Arabidopsis thaliana: one gene and its partner. The gene in region 1 interacts genetically with each later gene. Each region holds a gene or a part of one and is shown in the gene's direction. Other genes may lie near its edges.

Region 1 (9,842 bases):
TGAGGTTAGTGTGTAGAGATATATAAAATTTTAATCGCTTCTTTGGTTGAGCTCCCATTTTGTACTTTTATGATGCCACATTAAGTTATAGATAAACATTTTTGTAAAGCCTAACGATTAAGACTGACTGGCTGGCAGGCTGCTCTTAAGGCTGCTAACGAGAAAAAAGATGGGAAAAAGGAGGAAGTTGTTTCCCTCCGTTCAGAAATTCAGGTAGGTCTACTAATATTTTGGTATTAGAATATGTTTGTTATTCTGATCTGCATTATGTAATCATTTCTTTATGTTCAGATCTTGAAGGATGAGGCAGAAACAGCTGCGGAATGCCTTCAAGAAGCGGAATCAGAAGCAAAGGCTCTTCGTATAATGACTCAAAGAATGGTTTTAACACAGGACGAAATGGTATGTTTAGAAAGCTCAAGTCTCATTATACTCACGTTTAAAGATTTCTGATTGTATGGAAAAAAAAATTGATCATCTAGGAGGAAGTAGCCTTGAAGAGATGCTGGCTTGCCCGGTATTGGGGTTTGGCAGTGCAGCATGGTAAGTAATGCATCCATCTTGTGAACGTGTTCTCATTGATACACTTACTCAGCTCTCTAATTTTGGTCAAAGGCTTGTAGTTGTGGTGAGGTAGTTTATTTATTAAAATTCTTAGATATTTGGTTTTCCTGTGGCTTACCTATGTAGGCATTTGTGCTGACATAGCACCATCCAGGCATGAAAAATGGTCGGCTCTGGCTCCTCTTCCATTTGAGCTGGTCATATCTGCAGCACAAAAGACCAAGGAGTTATCTCGGGACAAAGGCTAGTCTTAATATTTGCTATGGCCAAGGTTTCCTTGATACTGTTTACTTACCAGCCTTTGGAATTGATCAGGTGGGAGTGATCAGAGCAAAACTGCTAGATTTTTAAGTGATCTACCTGGAGAAGGAAATATCGAAAGTATGCTTTCAGTTGAGATGGGTTTGAGAGAGCTGGCATCCTTAAAGGTAATATACCATTGTTTCTTTACTTTAAGGTATCTTCAAGTACATAATTAAGTTCTCATATCACAACGAAATTTAGGTTGAGGATGCTGTTATGCTTGCATTCGCACAGAAGAGAACACCGAGTTTGGTTCGTCAAGGTATGTATGCTATATCATCAATTAGTACAGTGTCAAATATAGTCTGTTTTTACTAGTCATCGAGATCAATAGTCTGTTTTCTCCATATCTTACAGATTCCAAAGGGCATGGAGAACTCAGTTTTGTAGAATCATACGGTAAGAGAAGAGAGTCCAAACATGCACAATATATCATATCAGCAGTCAAACTTGATGAAATCCTTACTATGTTATCACATTTCTCAAATGCAGAGATAAAAGAAGGGGAACAAGAAGATGTTGCCTTTAAGCAGGTAGTTTCTTTATGCCTATAATTTCATAACTATAAGGTTATAATGTGACATTTTGTTACAAGAGATGGTAATTATTGGTATATTGTGGTTGGTAACTAAATTTATCGCGATGAATCTTGATGAACCGACGTTATTTGGTTATAAATGCAGGCATGGCTTATGTACTTCTGGGGTAGAGCCAAGTTGCATAGTGTGGAAGAAGACATTGCAGATGAACGTTTCCAGTTTTGGACCAGTCGTAGTGAAGGAAAATCTCCGACTTCACAAGATGCCGTTGACGGTAATAAACTTCTTCAATTGATTTCCCCTGTGTCCTAATTCTAGTTTTAATAACACATTAACTTGTTCTCTTTACAGTGGAACGAGGTTTGTTAGAGCTAAGGAAACTAGGAGTAGAGCAACAATTATGGGAAGCTTGTCGCAAAGAAACAGATCAGCTTCTTCCATCTTCTTCTCCGACATCTACTCTTTCAAATCACAACCTTGACTCTTAATTTAAAGATATCAATAGCATTATTCTCTATTGTATAACCGAAAAAACAAATCATCATAATCTAAAATCTTAAGTTTTAAACCCAAAAAAAAAAAAAAAAAGAGAGTGCTAAAAGTCTAACCATTTCTGAAAATAAACACATGTAGTGGGAGAGATAACACCATCAGGTGAACAGATCGCTATATGCGGACAAACCCCGCAAGGAATCGAAGCAAAAGCTCCAGCTCTCGGTTCGCCATTACCGAACTTTTTCCCGGTCAACCTGTAGCAAACTTCTCCGATTCTCGTAGAAGCAAACTCATTCATTCCATTACTCTTCACCTCCATGATCAAATTATCCAAAATCAAGTTCTTAAGTATCTCCTTAGTCTGATCAACACTCAGCTTCTCCTCTTTAACAAAATACCCACACAAAACCTCCAAAGTAACAACCCTCTGCCTATGCCTCTCCAAAATCATCACACACTTGGCTTTCAAATCTTCGATTTTCGACAGGTCAAGAGCTCCATCAGTGTACCATTCACCACCAGTAAGTTCACTACAAGGCTCAAACTCCATTGCAAGATAATGTTTGACACCTTTGTTGTTCATGTTTGCTACTTCTTTGATGAGATTCTTCTTCCGTAGAGAAGCGATCAATCGAGTAACTATAGTTGCTGGGATCGTTTTCTCGCGTTTCAATTCGAACATAGTTGCGCCTCTTCCTTGGTTTATTCGAATCAGATCCAGAAGCTTCTTCTCGTGTGGCTCGTTTAGATCACCTCCCGATGATTTCGGATCCGGACGTTTTCGTTTACTCATTCTTACAAATTCACCAAACTGCAAAAATCAATCGGAATTGTGACACGGTAATTGAGAGAATTCGTGTGATTTACGAAAAGGATTGATCTATACTATAAGAAGGTGATAAAATCGATGATTCTGAGATTACAAAGGATTTTGGTGAAGATTCAGATTCAATTTACCTGGAGATTGGTTTACTGGAGATGAACAATCCGATGAATATAGAGGCTTTAGGAGAGTTCAGAGAACGGAGAAGTCGTCCGTGACTGGAACGGATACGAAAACCCTAGGTCTGCTTTTAGCTAAATATATAAGACAGAGAAGAAAGTCAAATATATTAGTGTGGGCCTAAACTAATACACAACAAAAGGTAACTCGAAGTGGATTGGTACATATTGTTCAGGATTTTTGTTAATTCAATATGAGATTTCGCTATACAAGTTGGTTTAGATAAAAACATGTAGATTAAAAATATTTATTTTTAAAAAATTCAATTTATTTTTTAAAAATAGAAATAATTATAAAGTATTAAAATAATATATAATTTGCATAAAATTTTGAAAATAATTTATATTGTAAAACAAAAAATTTGGTCCAAAACAATTTATATTGTAAAACAAAGAAAGTATATATTTTTGATTTTTTACTAATATTTATGCTTATTAATTTTCAGAAATAAGTTGACAAAAAAATTCTATAAATATTTTATTTTATTAGACTGAACTTTTTCAGATTAAACCATAAACTTTAGTGAATATTTTTTAAAATCTAAAACCATTTTTGTATAAATGTTGTTGATTTCGACCGAAATAGTTTCATACAAAATATAGTTTTAAATAATAACACAAAACGGAAATAAAATAAAATTAGAAGACAGTTCTGTAAATAATAATATGTTTATTTTTTTAAATCTTGAATAATGAGAATAAAATGATCAGAGTCTTTATTACAATAATAAATTTATGAAATTAAATATCCGTCTTCTTTCTTCGTCCGACAAGTTCATATTAATTAAAGATACCTTGAGACTTTCCTCTTCTCAGATACAAAGCTGACATTTGAAGAAAAAGACATTTCTAAAATTAAACAGAACCTAAGCTTTTGCAATGGCGGAACCTGAGAAGAAGCGAGATCAACCATTTTCTCAAGTAATCATCCTTCATTTTTCCCCCACAAATTTAATAATCTATCATTATCACCCCCACCTTTTGCGTTCATCATTACCCCCACATTTATCTCTCCCTCTTTTCGCAGAGCCAGATTTTGATTTTGATTTTTTCCCCTTTTTCTCTGATCTGATATTATGGTGCTATCGCAGGAAAAAGACGAAGAGAAAGATCTATACCTTGTTCACGACGAGCACGAGTCTCCTCTTCCTCTCACCGTCACTTCTCGTGTAAATTTCTCCGATCCTAAATTCGTTTTAGGTTTTAGGGTTATATTAATAGTCTCGTCTTAAAAATTGGAAGACTTTTGGAATTTGCAGGTTTTGTACATGTTAGGAGATATAGCATCTGGTCCAGCTTATAGGTTTACTCAATGGTTGGATTTAGTTCGTAAACGAAGTGCTACTTACGGATCCTCTGGCTTCCCTCACCGCCTTCACCGCATCGATGATATGGTCACTAGGTTAACACTTTCTCTGACTTTTTGTCAAGTACTTGGTTTGTTGATTATGATTTTGGAATCTTATGAGTATATCAGAACAAAGGTTTCTAAATTAGGATATTAGTCTTCATGTCAGTTGATACAAGTATTATCCAGTGCAGGAGAGAGGAATACTGATCCTAAAAGTCCACCAAGTAGGCAGAGTTCAGAGATTAGTTTGTGGGAAAGGCTTGGTAAAGCTTCTACTGTGGATATTGATTCGAGCTGTTTTTCATGGAATATGTTGTCTTCACTTCATCATACTGAACATAGTAGTAGCACTGATCATTCTGAAGAAGACCAGAGTAAACCACTTGAGGTATATATATCATTATGATCTTGGACTGGTGATGCTAGGAGGATCTTTTGACACTATTAGATGTCTGTACAGGTTACTGTGAATTCTGGAGGAGTTGTTTTCTTTGCCCTGTTCAATAGTTCCAGCTCTGAAGATGCCTCTCGTAAGGAAGAAGCAGCAGTTATTAAATTTGCATCATCGAGGATGGCCACGCAATCAGAACGTCTAGGTTATGAGTTTTCCAAGTGGCTAGGGGTGCAGATTCCGCAGGTGCTTCTTTTCTTTCTTGTAGTTTTTTAAAAATGTAGTAATGGTTTTGCTCATTTCACTTTCTTTCTAGAATTTTCAAGTAATGAGTAATCATCATGCGACAGGCTAGAGTAATTCACAGCTGTAATCCTGAGTGGACACTGATCAAAGAAGCCACTGAAAAAGCACAAGCTAAAGCGACTTCGGAGGGGGACGAGGTTGGTGAAATGACATGTTCAGAACTTCTGGAAGCCCTTGAGCTCAGCCGTTGTCTTCTCTTAATGAGGTGAAAGCACAAGATTCATCTTTATTCTTTATCACTTTTCTCCATTTTTTACTTGGACCAGCAGCATAATGTTGACAGTTTTTTTGTTCCTTTGCATTAGTGTTTAACTAGATGATAGTAAACCATTTGAAATATGAATATACCATTTGATAATATATTTTAAGAAAAATAAAAGATGTTATGTTATTAGATATAAAAATTGTATTATAAAATAAGAAAGATCTAAATTACAAATATGAGGTGGAATTATTTTATTGGATAAAATTTGATAACAACAGTTAAACAGAAATCTAATCTTGCTTTAAATGATAATAAATATGAGAGAAATAGCTGAACAGAAATCTAGTCTTACCTAATAGGATTATGTAAAATCTAGTCTTACCTAATAGGATCATGTAGGCACTTTCAAATTTACAATTTTTAATGTGATGTTTGTATAGAACCCCTCTTCTTAGCCCAGGATTCTCTATATGTGATTACAGTTATGTTCATGGATGTCCAATGCTGGAGAGCATGAGTAGTTTTGAAACTGAAGAAAAAGCAGAGAGAGCTGCTGCAGCTCTAGGGAGAATCTTGGTGTTAGATCTAGTAATTAGGAATGAAGACAGATTACCGTGTCGTCAGCTGAGATGGCGTGGCAACCCGGCAAATCTGTTACTGACAGACAGAATTGTGTCTTCTGCAAAGCATCATGAATGTTCATTTGATGAAGCTTTTGATTCCGCCATCAAACGGTACCATCCAAAGGACTATAGATCCATTCAAAGGGAAAGAAGAGCTTCTTCCGTAGATAGCAGATCCAGGTTGAGTATCAGTGATCAAATGTTGGTCTCACAGGCTTCTGATTTTTCTGATATAACGGAATCACCTAGATCATATGATACTGGTTTAATGAGTCCAATGTCTGATAGATCAGTAGCTGCCGATTTTCACCTCGTTGCCATAGACTCGGGTGTTCCACGGCGGCCTCCTGCTGGAAAACGGGCAAGCGACCAAGAAATTTATCCAAGATTAGTTGAGTTACTCCTCAATAGTAGCCAATATTCTTCGAATTTGTTACATGAAATAACAGAAGGAAGTTTAGGATATCCACAGGCAGAAGATGGTGAAGAAACATCTAATGTTCGATCTGTAGTAACACCAGTTGTACGCGAGTTTCGAAATGGTTTCCGAGCTGGTCTCAGGGATTTGCAAGAGTTTCACATCTTCCTTGTCACCCTTCATCAGAAATTAGATGTGTTGCTTCGGGCATTTTTTAGTATGATGGACAAAACAATGTGTGCAGATTTTGACAGAGAAGACTTTGCTGTTCCTGAGTCACCTTCACATACTCATGGGCATGAGGTGAATCATTATCCATCTCCCTCAAAAGATCGGGTGCCTAGTGATAACAGCTCTGATCACAGTGAGTCAGATATGCAAAAATCAGTTCCTAGGACACCAAATTCAGAAAACAAAGAAGACGGGTCTTCGCCTAAGTCACGTGAAAGTTGGCACGGAAGATCCGGTAAAGGTGGAGAATCTCTTAGCAGTCAGCGTTTGGCAGCAAAGCTCCGTGACTTCCATAAGTTTGCAAAGGTTTGTCGCTTCGAGCTTTGATCACTATGTTCTAATTTGTAAAGTAGGTTCAGATTTTTTATAAAAAAAAAAGTTTGTCTTCTTGGATGGAAGTTCTCAGCCATTTTCTCTTTCTTCACTCTCAATATTTTCATGGTGCGTCCAGGTTGATGCTGAGTCTAATAAAGAACTAGACCAGTGGAATGAAACACTGCGGAATGAAGTGATGAAACTTTGCCAAGAGAACGGTTTCAACACTGGTTTTTTTGAGGGCAGTGATAATAACAGTTGCACAGATGCTTATGAGCTAAAGGTATCATGAAGTTTTATTATTTCCTTTTATCCTGAATATGATCTTCATTATATAATATAGTTTTTGGCAACTGAACTCAAACATTGTCTCTCTTGTTTGCATTCTCCTTGATAACAGGTTAGACTTGAGCATATTCTTGAGAGGATATCATTGATTAGCAAAGCTGCTAATACAGAGAAACCATCAATGATACAAGAAAATCTTTTTATCGGGGGAGGATTGGCTGCAAGGTCGATTTACACTCTTCAGCATTTAGGTATAACTCATGTTCTATGTTTGTGCGCTAATGAAATCGGGCAATCGGATACTCAATACCCGGATCTCTTCGAGTACCAAAACTTCTCAGTAAGTGAACCTGTCTTATATGTCTCTTAAAAGGAATTGGTAAAAAAAAATGCATCTATAAAGATGATCGTTTTCTTCTTGTGTCTTCCCTTTGACCAGATAACCGATGATGAAGACTCAAATATCGAGAGCATCTTTCAAGAAGCTCTCGATTTCATCAAGCATGGCGAAGAAACTGGTGGCAAGATTTTAGTTCATTGCTTCGAAGGTCGGAGTAGAAGCGCAACAGTAGTGCTTGCTTACCTAATGCTCCAAAAGTAAGTTGTTGGGGACAAATAAAATTTGTTGGAAATTTTCAATACTTGTTCTCATTTGTTTACTGGTGGGAACAATAAATAGGAAGCTCACACTTTTAGAAGCATGGAGCAAACTGAGGAAAGTTCATAGACGAGCTCAACCGAATGATGGATTTGCGCGGATCTTAATAAACCTCGACAAGAAATGTCACGGGAAAGTATCAATGGAGTGGAGACAGAGGAAACCGACAATGAAAGTGTGTCCGGTTTGTGGAAAGAACGCAGGTCTAAGCAGCAGTTCTTTGAAGCTTCATCTCCAGAAATCTCACAGGAAACTGTCTTCGGGAAGTGTTGACAGTGCAATGAACATGGAGATTCAAAAGGCTTTGGAGGCTCTTAAACTCAGCACTGGCCGTGGCTCAAGTGCTAGTTCCAATTCTTTCCAATCTCATCCTGGTTAGAGAGTCCGGTTTGGTTTTATCTATGGTTTGTCCCGGTTAAAGTCTCTCTAATCGTACATCTCTGAACAAAAACATTGATCTGTTTTGTTTTGTTTTTTACTGTAACGATCTTTGTACTTGTATACGCAAGTAAATAAAAAGCCGAAAAGCTGAATAGAAGTCACTGGGAAACGTCATAATAAGCTAATGTAACATTTGTAACTCTTTTTCCCTTGTGCTTTGTGTTAAGAAAGTAAGATTTGGCCCAAAAATGTCATAAAACTAAAAAATTGATTGCGTAATCAAACAAAAGTTCCCTTTCATTTTCGATATAATAAACTAAAAAAATTTGACATTCTTTCCGGCGTGCACATTGATGAAAGTGAACTCTTGTTAACTTTCATTTGTGACTTGTATGGAGTACAAGACGTGCGTGATGTGCCAGACGACGGAGAAAGATGAAGGAATCATGAGGTGGTATATGTATGAAGAATGGCTATGGAAAGCAGACAAAGTAAAAATTGATTGAAATATTGGGGAACATAAATGCAAATCTAATTTGATGTTAAATCTATGTGGGAAATCTGATAACGGTGGATCGTCTTTGTGGACCAACTTGGTGTTAGCTTTTTTTCCAACTACTTATTAATTTATCCATTCCTTTGTTAATGACTAGTCTCTCCTTTAAGTCATCCTTTAAGTTGCTTTTGTATCTCCACTTTATTCTCTGCCTTCTTTTTCATGGGAAAGTTGCACATCAGAAGCACCAATGAACTTGTAATGAACTCCTTCAAAAAAATTTCTGATATTATATCTTAAGCGATGTCCTCTCTCCTACATTTTTGTTTGTTTATTGTTTACCAATTTCTTGAATAACAAGTTAATTTGTTTCTTCAAAAAGTGTAGAAGCCCACTTTTGTAACGGACGTTAAGATTGCGCTTTAGTTGGTGAAATTTTATATGTTAGGTAGTTCACGTATTTTGTTGTTTGGAGAAATATTAATAAATGGCATTAAATGGAAATCGAATCCATTCTTTGAAGCAGTGTGGGTCCAAACATGGAGCACAAGTGTTATAAAAGACTTGAGGCTGAGAAGTAACGAAGAGACATGAAAAAGAGGACAATGACCAAAGGTGGTACATAACACACGTATGACTCGTCCTTACTTTGCTGTCCACAAAATTCTCTCATAAAACTAAAACCTACCACCGATTTTTTCTCCTCTCTCTCTCTCTCTCAAAATCTGCCCCGGCTCTTCTTTATCGGACGCGTAGTATCAATATCGATATTTTAACCCCGTGATCTATGCTTATCTTTTCTTGGTTATATGGTTATAGAGAACCGTTATCTGTTTTTGATACCTGTAAATAATATAATAGAAATGCTTCTTAGACCCGACATTCGTAAATAATATAATATCGAGAATCAAATAAGTTACATGATTCGGATTTTCATTAGGAATTGGACAACTATCGAGAATGGTTATGGCATATTTATACATGTTGACCACTTATTTGTGAGTGGTTATTATCCCGGATATAAAATGATCATCTAAGTGAAAATTTTTGAATCCGTCCAAACATTTCTACTATTGATCCGAATGACAAAATCAAGATAAACTAGTACTCCCTCTATTCATAATAGTTTGATGTTTTGGATTTTGACGCTTATTAAGAACTCAATTATTGTTTAATCATTTTAACATTTTTCTTAGTGTTATAAGACAATAAAAATAAAGAAAAATGCTAGAAAATCAATTTTTATGAAACAAAAAACAAAAGCTAGAGCATCAAA
Region 2 (6,236 bases), on another chromosome or scaffold:
TTTTAAAAATATCTATTGTCATTTCAACCTCGAAATTATTATTTTTGTTAAATCCAACCCATGAATAATTCACTTTGAATATTTGGACTTTGGAGGATAACTGAAAGTTATAACAAATTTGATAGTTCATGTAGTTTATTGAAAAGATGTTTAGTTAGAGATTTTTTCATGTGTAAAAATATTATAAGGAAATCATACAATGAATTACTAATATTATAAGGGCAATTGACAAAACAAAAATATATTATTTTAGAAAAAGGTATATATATTTCTAATATAAATAAATACAATTAATTACAAATATTGTATAACGTGTAAGAAAATAATTGTTTTAAATATATATATATACTTCTAAGATTAAGTAAATTATACATTTAATCACTAATACAGTAAAAATATTAAATAAATTATTAAAATTAGTAATTCTAACACAAGAAGGCTTAAATTTTTCTTTTCTTTTTTTTCTCTCTTCAGAATTGGTTTCATATAACGATCTGTGTGATACACAGTTTAATTGATATATGAATCGACAAATACCAATAAAAATCGCTGTGAATGAATATGTATAGATAACGAAAAATACGCGGGTCAAGGTACAACCACGACATGCCATATTGCCATGTGGCTTCAACCCCCACATATAAGTCCACGACATTGCAGGACATAACGATCATAAAATTTGGAGGAAATACAAATATAGAAGAATGGAAGAATTGGACATAGTAATCGTGGGAGGAGGCATTGCTGGTCTTGCAACTTCCCTTGCTCTTCACAGGTTCACTATAATCTCCTCATTTTCTCAATTATAAGGTAATTTAAATTAGAAAACATATACATGAACTATTGACTAACTAAACATACAAATATGATTATAAAGGAAGGGCATAAAGAGCGTTGTGTTGGAGAGATCAGAGTCTGTAAGATCGGAAGGAGCAGCATTTTGGTATTCAGACTAACGGCTGGCTTGCTCTTCAACAACTTGGTGTCGCCGATAAGCTAGCTTCGTCTTAAGTCTCTCCCAATTCATCAGTAAGTATATAAATATTTATATTTTAACTAACCTTATCTAGTTATAATGATTTCCGGTATGGTACTAAAACAGGATAAGAGATGTTTTGATCGAGAAAGGTATTAAACGAAGAGAATCGGTTGGACCAGCATCCTATGGAGAAGTAAGAGGTGTACTAAGGAACGACTTGGTTCGAGCTTTGGCTCATGCTCTTCCTCTTGGCACTCTCCGGCTTGGTTGCCATATTTTGTCGGTTAAGCTCGACGAAACAAAATCGTTTCCGATTGTGCACGTTAAAAACGGGAGAAGCTATCAAAGCAAAGGCACGTTTTAACAACAGTAGATATATTTATTGATCAATTATTGAGGTGATGCCGTAGTGGAATTTTTTTAGTATATACTTTATATTAGCCGACAGTGACATTTATGGGTCGTGATCGGTTTTAATGGTTTGTGTTTTGTTTGTTTTTCACTGAAAGCAACATGTTTAGCATGAAATGCATGGGTCTTATATATTTTGATAATATACTTTTCTTTTAATTTAGGTTTTGATTGGCTGCGATGGGTCAAATTCTGTAGTCTCTAGATTTCTAGGATTAAACCCGACTAAAGACCTCGGTTCGCGGGCCATCAGAGGGTTCACAAATTACCCGGACGACCATGGATTCCGACAAGAGTTTATAAGAATCAAGATGGACAACGTCGTAAGCGGACGACTTCCTATAACTCACAAACTCGTCTTTTGGTTTGTTGTTTTGCGAAATTGTCCCCAAGGTAATTAATAACCCGGTCATGCTACATTTCATACTATACATAGACTTCTATTGTTTTCATATAACGCACTAACGTATTTATAATTTGTTTTATAAATAGACTCAAACTTCTTAAAAAATCAAGAGGATATCGCAAGATTGGCACTAGCATCAGTCCGCGAATTCTCAGAAGAGTGGAAAGAGATGGTGAAGAATTGTGATATGGACTCTTTGTATATCAACCGTTTAAGGTACCGTGCTCCTTGGGATGTTCTGTCTGGAAAATTCCGACGTGGCACCGTGACAGTTGGCCGGAGACAGTATGCACCTAATGGGCCCATTCTTAGGACAAGGATGTTCGGCTGCGCTTGAGGACGGTGTTGTTTTGGCTAGATGCTTGTGGAGGAAGTTAAATTTAGGTCAAGACGGTATAATTAATGTATCTTCCTTCTCTTCAAGGATGCAAATAGAAGAAGCAATTGATGAGTACATTAGGGAAAGAAGAGGTAGACTCGTGGGGCTTTCGACACAAACTTATCTTACCGGTAGTTTAATAGCAGCTTCTTCGCCGGTTAGGAAGCTATTGCTTGTAGTTATGTTGATGATTCTGTTTCGTGATCAAATTGGTCATACTCGATATGATTGTGGCAGTCTATAAATTTATCTTATGTACGAACTGTCTAAATTGCGAGAGTTGTGTGCTTCGTGAGATGATTGTATCATGAGGTTGGTTACTCATTGTTCTTGCGAATGTTTCCTGTTTGTTCGCTTCTGATAATTTTTGTTCGATTATTAAAAGAACTATGATATTAGTCTTTCTCACTTGTGAGTTGTGAAAGACAAAAGAAGTCCAATCAAAAACTTATTTAAGAAAATTATGGGCGGTATCATCTGCAAAAAAATATTCTCAAAAACATTTTAATCCAATTAATAATTCTGGATTCAAGTTTTTTGGACCAAAAATAATCAATAATTATTCAAATACATTTTTCGTATATTTTGATGAAGGAAGAGAAGTCCATATCATTTGTGTTACAAAAACCCCACCCTAGTTGATAAAAGACTTAAAGTCTGCATTATAACATAAACAGAACCAAGAAAATGTAGAGAGAAATGTCAAATTATCCAGTAGCCCACTCAAAATGTAGAAGCTGAATCAATGGAGGTGATAGAAAACTTATCTAGAGAAAACCAGAATTGCAAAGGCTCAATTCGAAGATGTTTTTTTTGATGATCCCATCTTTATTCTTATATATATCAAAAGTTTAATAGTATAGAAGATCGATTTTTTTTTTGTCAGTTTAGATTTTTGATATACTAGGAAAAGCCAAAAAGATAAGTATTGAGTCACACTCATTACAACAAGTACACAAAATTGATATTGGATGGAACTAGTTGTTTTATCCAAAAGCCGAGTTAATGTAAGTGGCGTCATAGGCTTGCGTCAACAGGTCAAGTTACTTCATAAACAAAGAGCGCTTGTTTGACTCGCAAAGACCCACCACACTCACGTAAATTGATTGTCTCCCAAGTAATTTAATTGTCTTAATGAAAAGTCTTCGCTGTTCCTCTACTCTATATAAATAAATTAAAAACACTATACTACATGTTACCTATAGGACTACAGATATTAAAACAACTACCCAAACAAAACTTTAGATCTGAAAATCTCAGCTTTGAAATGGAGGAAATCGGAATAGTTATCGTCGGCGGCGGAATCGCTGGTCTCGCCACTTCCATTGCTCTTCATAGGTTTGTTATTAATTTATTTTGTAATGAGACTCAAACTTTATGAATTCCATATGTAAATTAATATTTGGTGTGTATATTTTTTTTTTAAAATGTAGGAAAGGAATAAAGAGTGTGGTGTTGGAGAGAGCAGAGAAAGTGAGATCGGAAGGAGCTGGAATCGGAACTCTCTCCAATGGTTGGAGAGCCCTTGATCAGCTTGGCGTTGGTGATCGCCTTCGTCTCAATTCTTCTCTTATTCACAAGTAAGTAATATTATTCTTTTTTAACCATAACTTTATTATTCATTATATGTTTGTTTTAGAATTTTGATTTATGGACCTTTCTTGGATATGAACAGGGCACGGACCATGTTGATTGAGAATGGAAAAAAACGAGAATTCGTTTCAAATATAGTGTAAGTCACAATTTTCCTATCCTTAAAATTGAAGATGATAAATATAAAAACTATAGAGTTAATTTGAGTATTTTGATTTAGTTTTTAATGCAGTTTATTCTATTGATTTGTTGTAATCTTTGTTATTGATTTGAATATTTAATACTTTGAATAAAACAGAGACGAAGCTCGTTGTATTAAAAGGAACGATCTTGTTGAGGCCTTATCCGATGCCCTTCCGAAAGGAACCATCCGGTTCGGTTCTCATATTGTTTCTATTGAGCAGGACAAAACTACGTTGTTTCCGGTTGTTCACTTAGCCAATGGAAATAGCATCAAAGCCAAGGTAAATATCAGTATTGTTTATTTAGACATTAATTGTTCAAAGGCAAATATTACATTTGGCTTTTGCATTTACTGAAGAATTTATTTTTGTATGCTTTCAATAGTATAAAATAAATTATGCAATATAATGTTTTTCTTCTCTCATAGGTCCTGATTGGATGCGATGGTGCCAATTCTATCGTCAGTGATTATTTGCAGTTAAACCCGAAAAAGGCGTTTGCTTGTCGTGCGGTGAGAGGGTTTACTAAGTACCCAAACGGCCATGGATTTCCACAAGAGGTTCTAAGGATAAAGCAAGGAAATGTCTTAATAGGAAGGCTTCCTTTGACGGATAATCAAGTCTTTTGGTTTCTAGTACATATGCAAGACAATAATCACAATGGTAAAGATCAAGAATCGATTGCGAATCTGTGTCGAAAATGGGCCGATGACTTGTCTGAAGATTGGAAAGAAATGGTAAAAATATGCAATGTGGAGTCATTAACACTCACACACTTAAGGTACCGAGCGCCATCGGAAATCATGTTAGGGAAATTTCGTCGTGGGACAGTGACTGTAGCCGGCGATGCGATGCACGTGATGGGTCCGTTCTTGGCACAGGGCGGCTCAGCGGCGCTAGAGGATGCGGTTGTTTTAGCTAGGTGTCTAGCTAGGAAAGTTGGTCCGGACCACGGAGACTTGTTAAAGGATTGTTCGATGAAAAACATTGAAGAAGCTATTGATGAGTATGTGGATGAACGTAGGATGAGATTACTCGGGCTTTCGGTGCAGACTTATTTGACCGGACGTTCGCTACAAACGTCATCAAAGGTTCTGAGGCTAATGTTTATAGCTTTGTTGTTACTTTTGTTTGGTCGTGATCAAATTCGTCATACTAGGTACGACTGTGGCCGTCTCTAGAGATTTGATGGACATTTTGTATTTTTTAGTGTGAGGTTGTGTGCTTTAAACTTTTTTTGTGTGTTTCTTTTTCTTATAACATCCTCCTTTCTCAATATAACAAGAGTTTACATGACCATACATTATATTGCAAATGTGATTTATCAACTATTGCTATGATAACAAATAATTGTAAAACTAAACGTAACTAAAATGCTTTGGTCCTGGTCTTAACGAATATATGTGCCTAGGCCCAAAACCTCTTAGTTGTTTAAATAAAAAACAAAAACGAAACTAAAGAAACGAAATTAGACAATTTTTTCTTACTTTACTCTCAGTCACATATTTGTAATTTATTATGTGTTTCATTTTTGTATATGTTTTTTTCAATTTATTATGGTCGACATTGTGCTATCATCACGATGTGCATTTTAGTGATCAAGACTATTCATTCATTGACTCATGGACTCATTGAATCTCTAGGAGCTCCTACGCTCAATGACCCAAAAAAATGTTAGTGAAGTTGAATTTTGGTTTGGTCTCTCCGCTTCAGTAAATTTAGTCTAAGGGGAATTGAATCGTTTGGTGACCTCGTTTTTGAGAGATTCTAGTTAGGAATCCTACATCTAAAATGAGAAAGAGCCTATATTAGCATCTCAACTCATTGCTGATAAATTTTAATTGGAAGTACATTAATACTTACACATGATATATATTTCAGTAAATTTAAGCGAACAGACACTACGATTTTATTGAGATAAAATGAGCCAAGGAACCAATATCTCGATTCTCGAAGATACGTGTTATGTTTTAAGACTCCCTAAATTTAACTAATTCTCATTATTGATTTCACTATATAGCTGTAACAAATTTTCTTTATGTACTCCTTTAATTTGTAAATGATATTTTCGTTTTTTTGACACCATTAAATAAGATAATTTCCTTGAAACAAATAAATTTGTCCTCATGTCAAATGAGTCATCATATTTTTGTTTATATCCAATATAGGTATGTATCTTACATGTAGTAATGAAAATTGTAAATGAGACTAAAATTGGTCTCAACTTTTAATATTTCATTTTGATGAACTGTATTTCATAAAGATTACCTTTTAAAATTTCTTATT

What was found. A genetic interaction does not mean that the proteins touch.
Region 2: of PHS1 (region 1) and MO1, changing one enhances a phenotype caused by changing the other (phenotypic enhancement), as found in Arabidopsis thaliana (one study listed by BioGRID).

What each region holds. Positions count from the first base shown.
Region 1 is NC_003076.8:7,994,527-8,004,368, forward strand, and holds PHS1 (dual specificity protein phosphatase family protein), read left to right. Parts: upstream 1-3,670; 5' UTR 3,671-3,782; coding exon 3,783-3,824; exon of another isoform or gene 3,825-3,979; coding exon of another isoform or gene 3,980-3,994; coding exon 3,995-4,072; intron 4,073-4,162; coding exon 4,163-4,305; intron 4,306-4,440; coding exon 4,441-4,642; intron 4,643-4,714; coding exon 4,715-4,891; intron 4,892-4,995; coding exon 4,996-5,156; intron 5,157-5,638; coding exon 5,639-6,734; intron 6,735-6,879; coding exon 6,880-7,026; intron 7,027-7,143; coding exon 7,144-7,371; intron 7,372-7,470; coding exon 7,471-7,628; intron 7,629-7,710; coding exon 7,711-8,068; 3' UTR 8,069-8,322; downstream 8,323-9,842. Other genes in the region: AT5G23700 (coiled-coil protein), read left to right, coding at 1-4, 139-213, 301-402, 483-543, 691-807, 880-992, 1,069-1,129, 1,225-1,400 and 2 more; AT5G23710 (DNA binding / DNA-directed RNA polymerase), read right to left, coding at 2,002-2,694. UniProt on the Arabidopsis thaliana protein: Probable dual specificity phosphatase that binds and dephosphorylates MPK18, modulating the organization and dynamics of cortical microtubules.
Region 2 is NC_003075.7:8,971,680-8,977,915, reverse strand, and holds MO1 (monooxygenase 1), read left to right. Parts: upstream 1-3,225; 5' UTR 3,226-3,367; coding exon 3,368-3,513; intron 3,514-3,608; coding exon 3,609-3,755; intron 3,756-3,814; coding exon 3,815-3,907; intron 3,908-4,066; coding exon 4,067-4,232; intron 4,233-4,378; coding exon 4,379-5,131; 3' UTR 5,132-5,244; downstream 5,245-6,236. Other genes in the region: AT4G15765 (FAD/NAD(P)-binding oxidoreductase family protein), read left to right, coding at 705-775, 878-943, 1,103-1,301, 1,555-1,783, 1,883-2,133.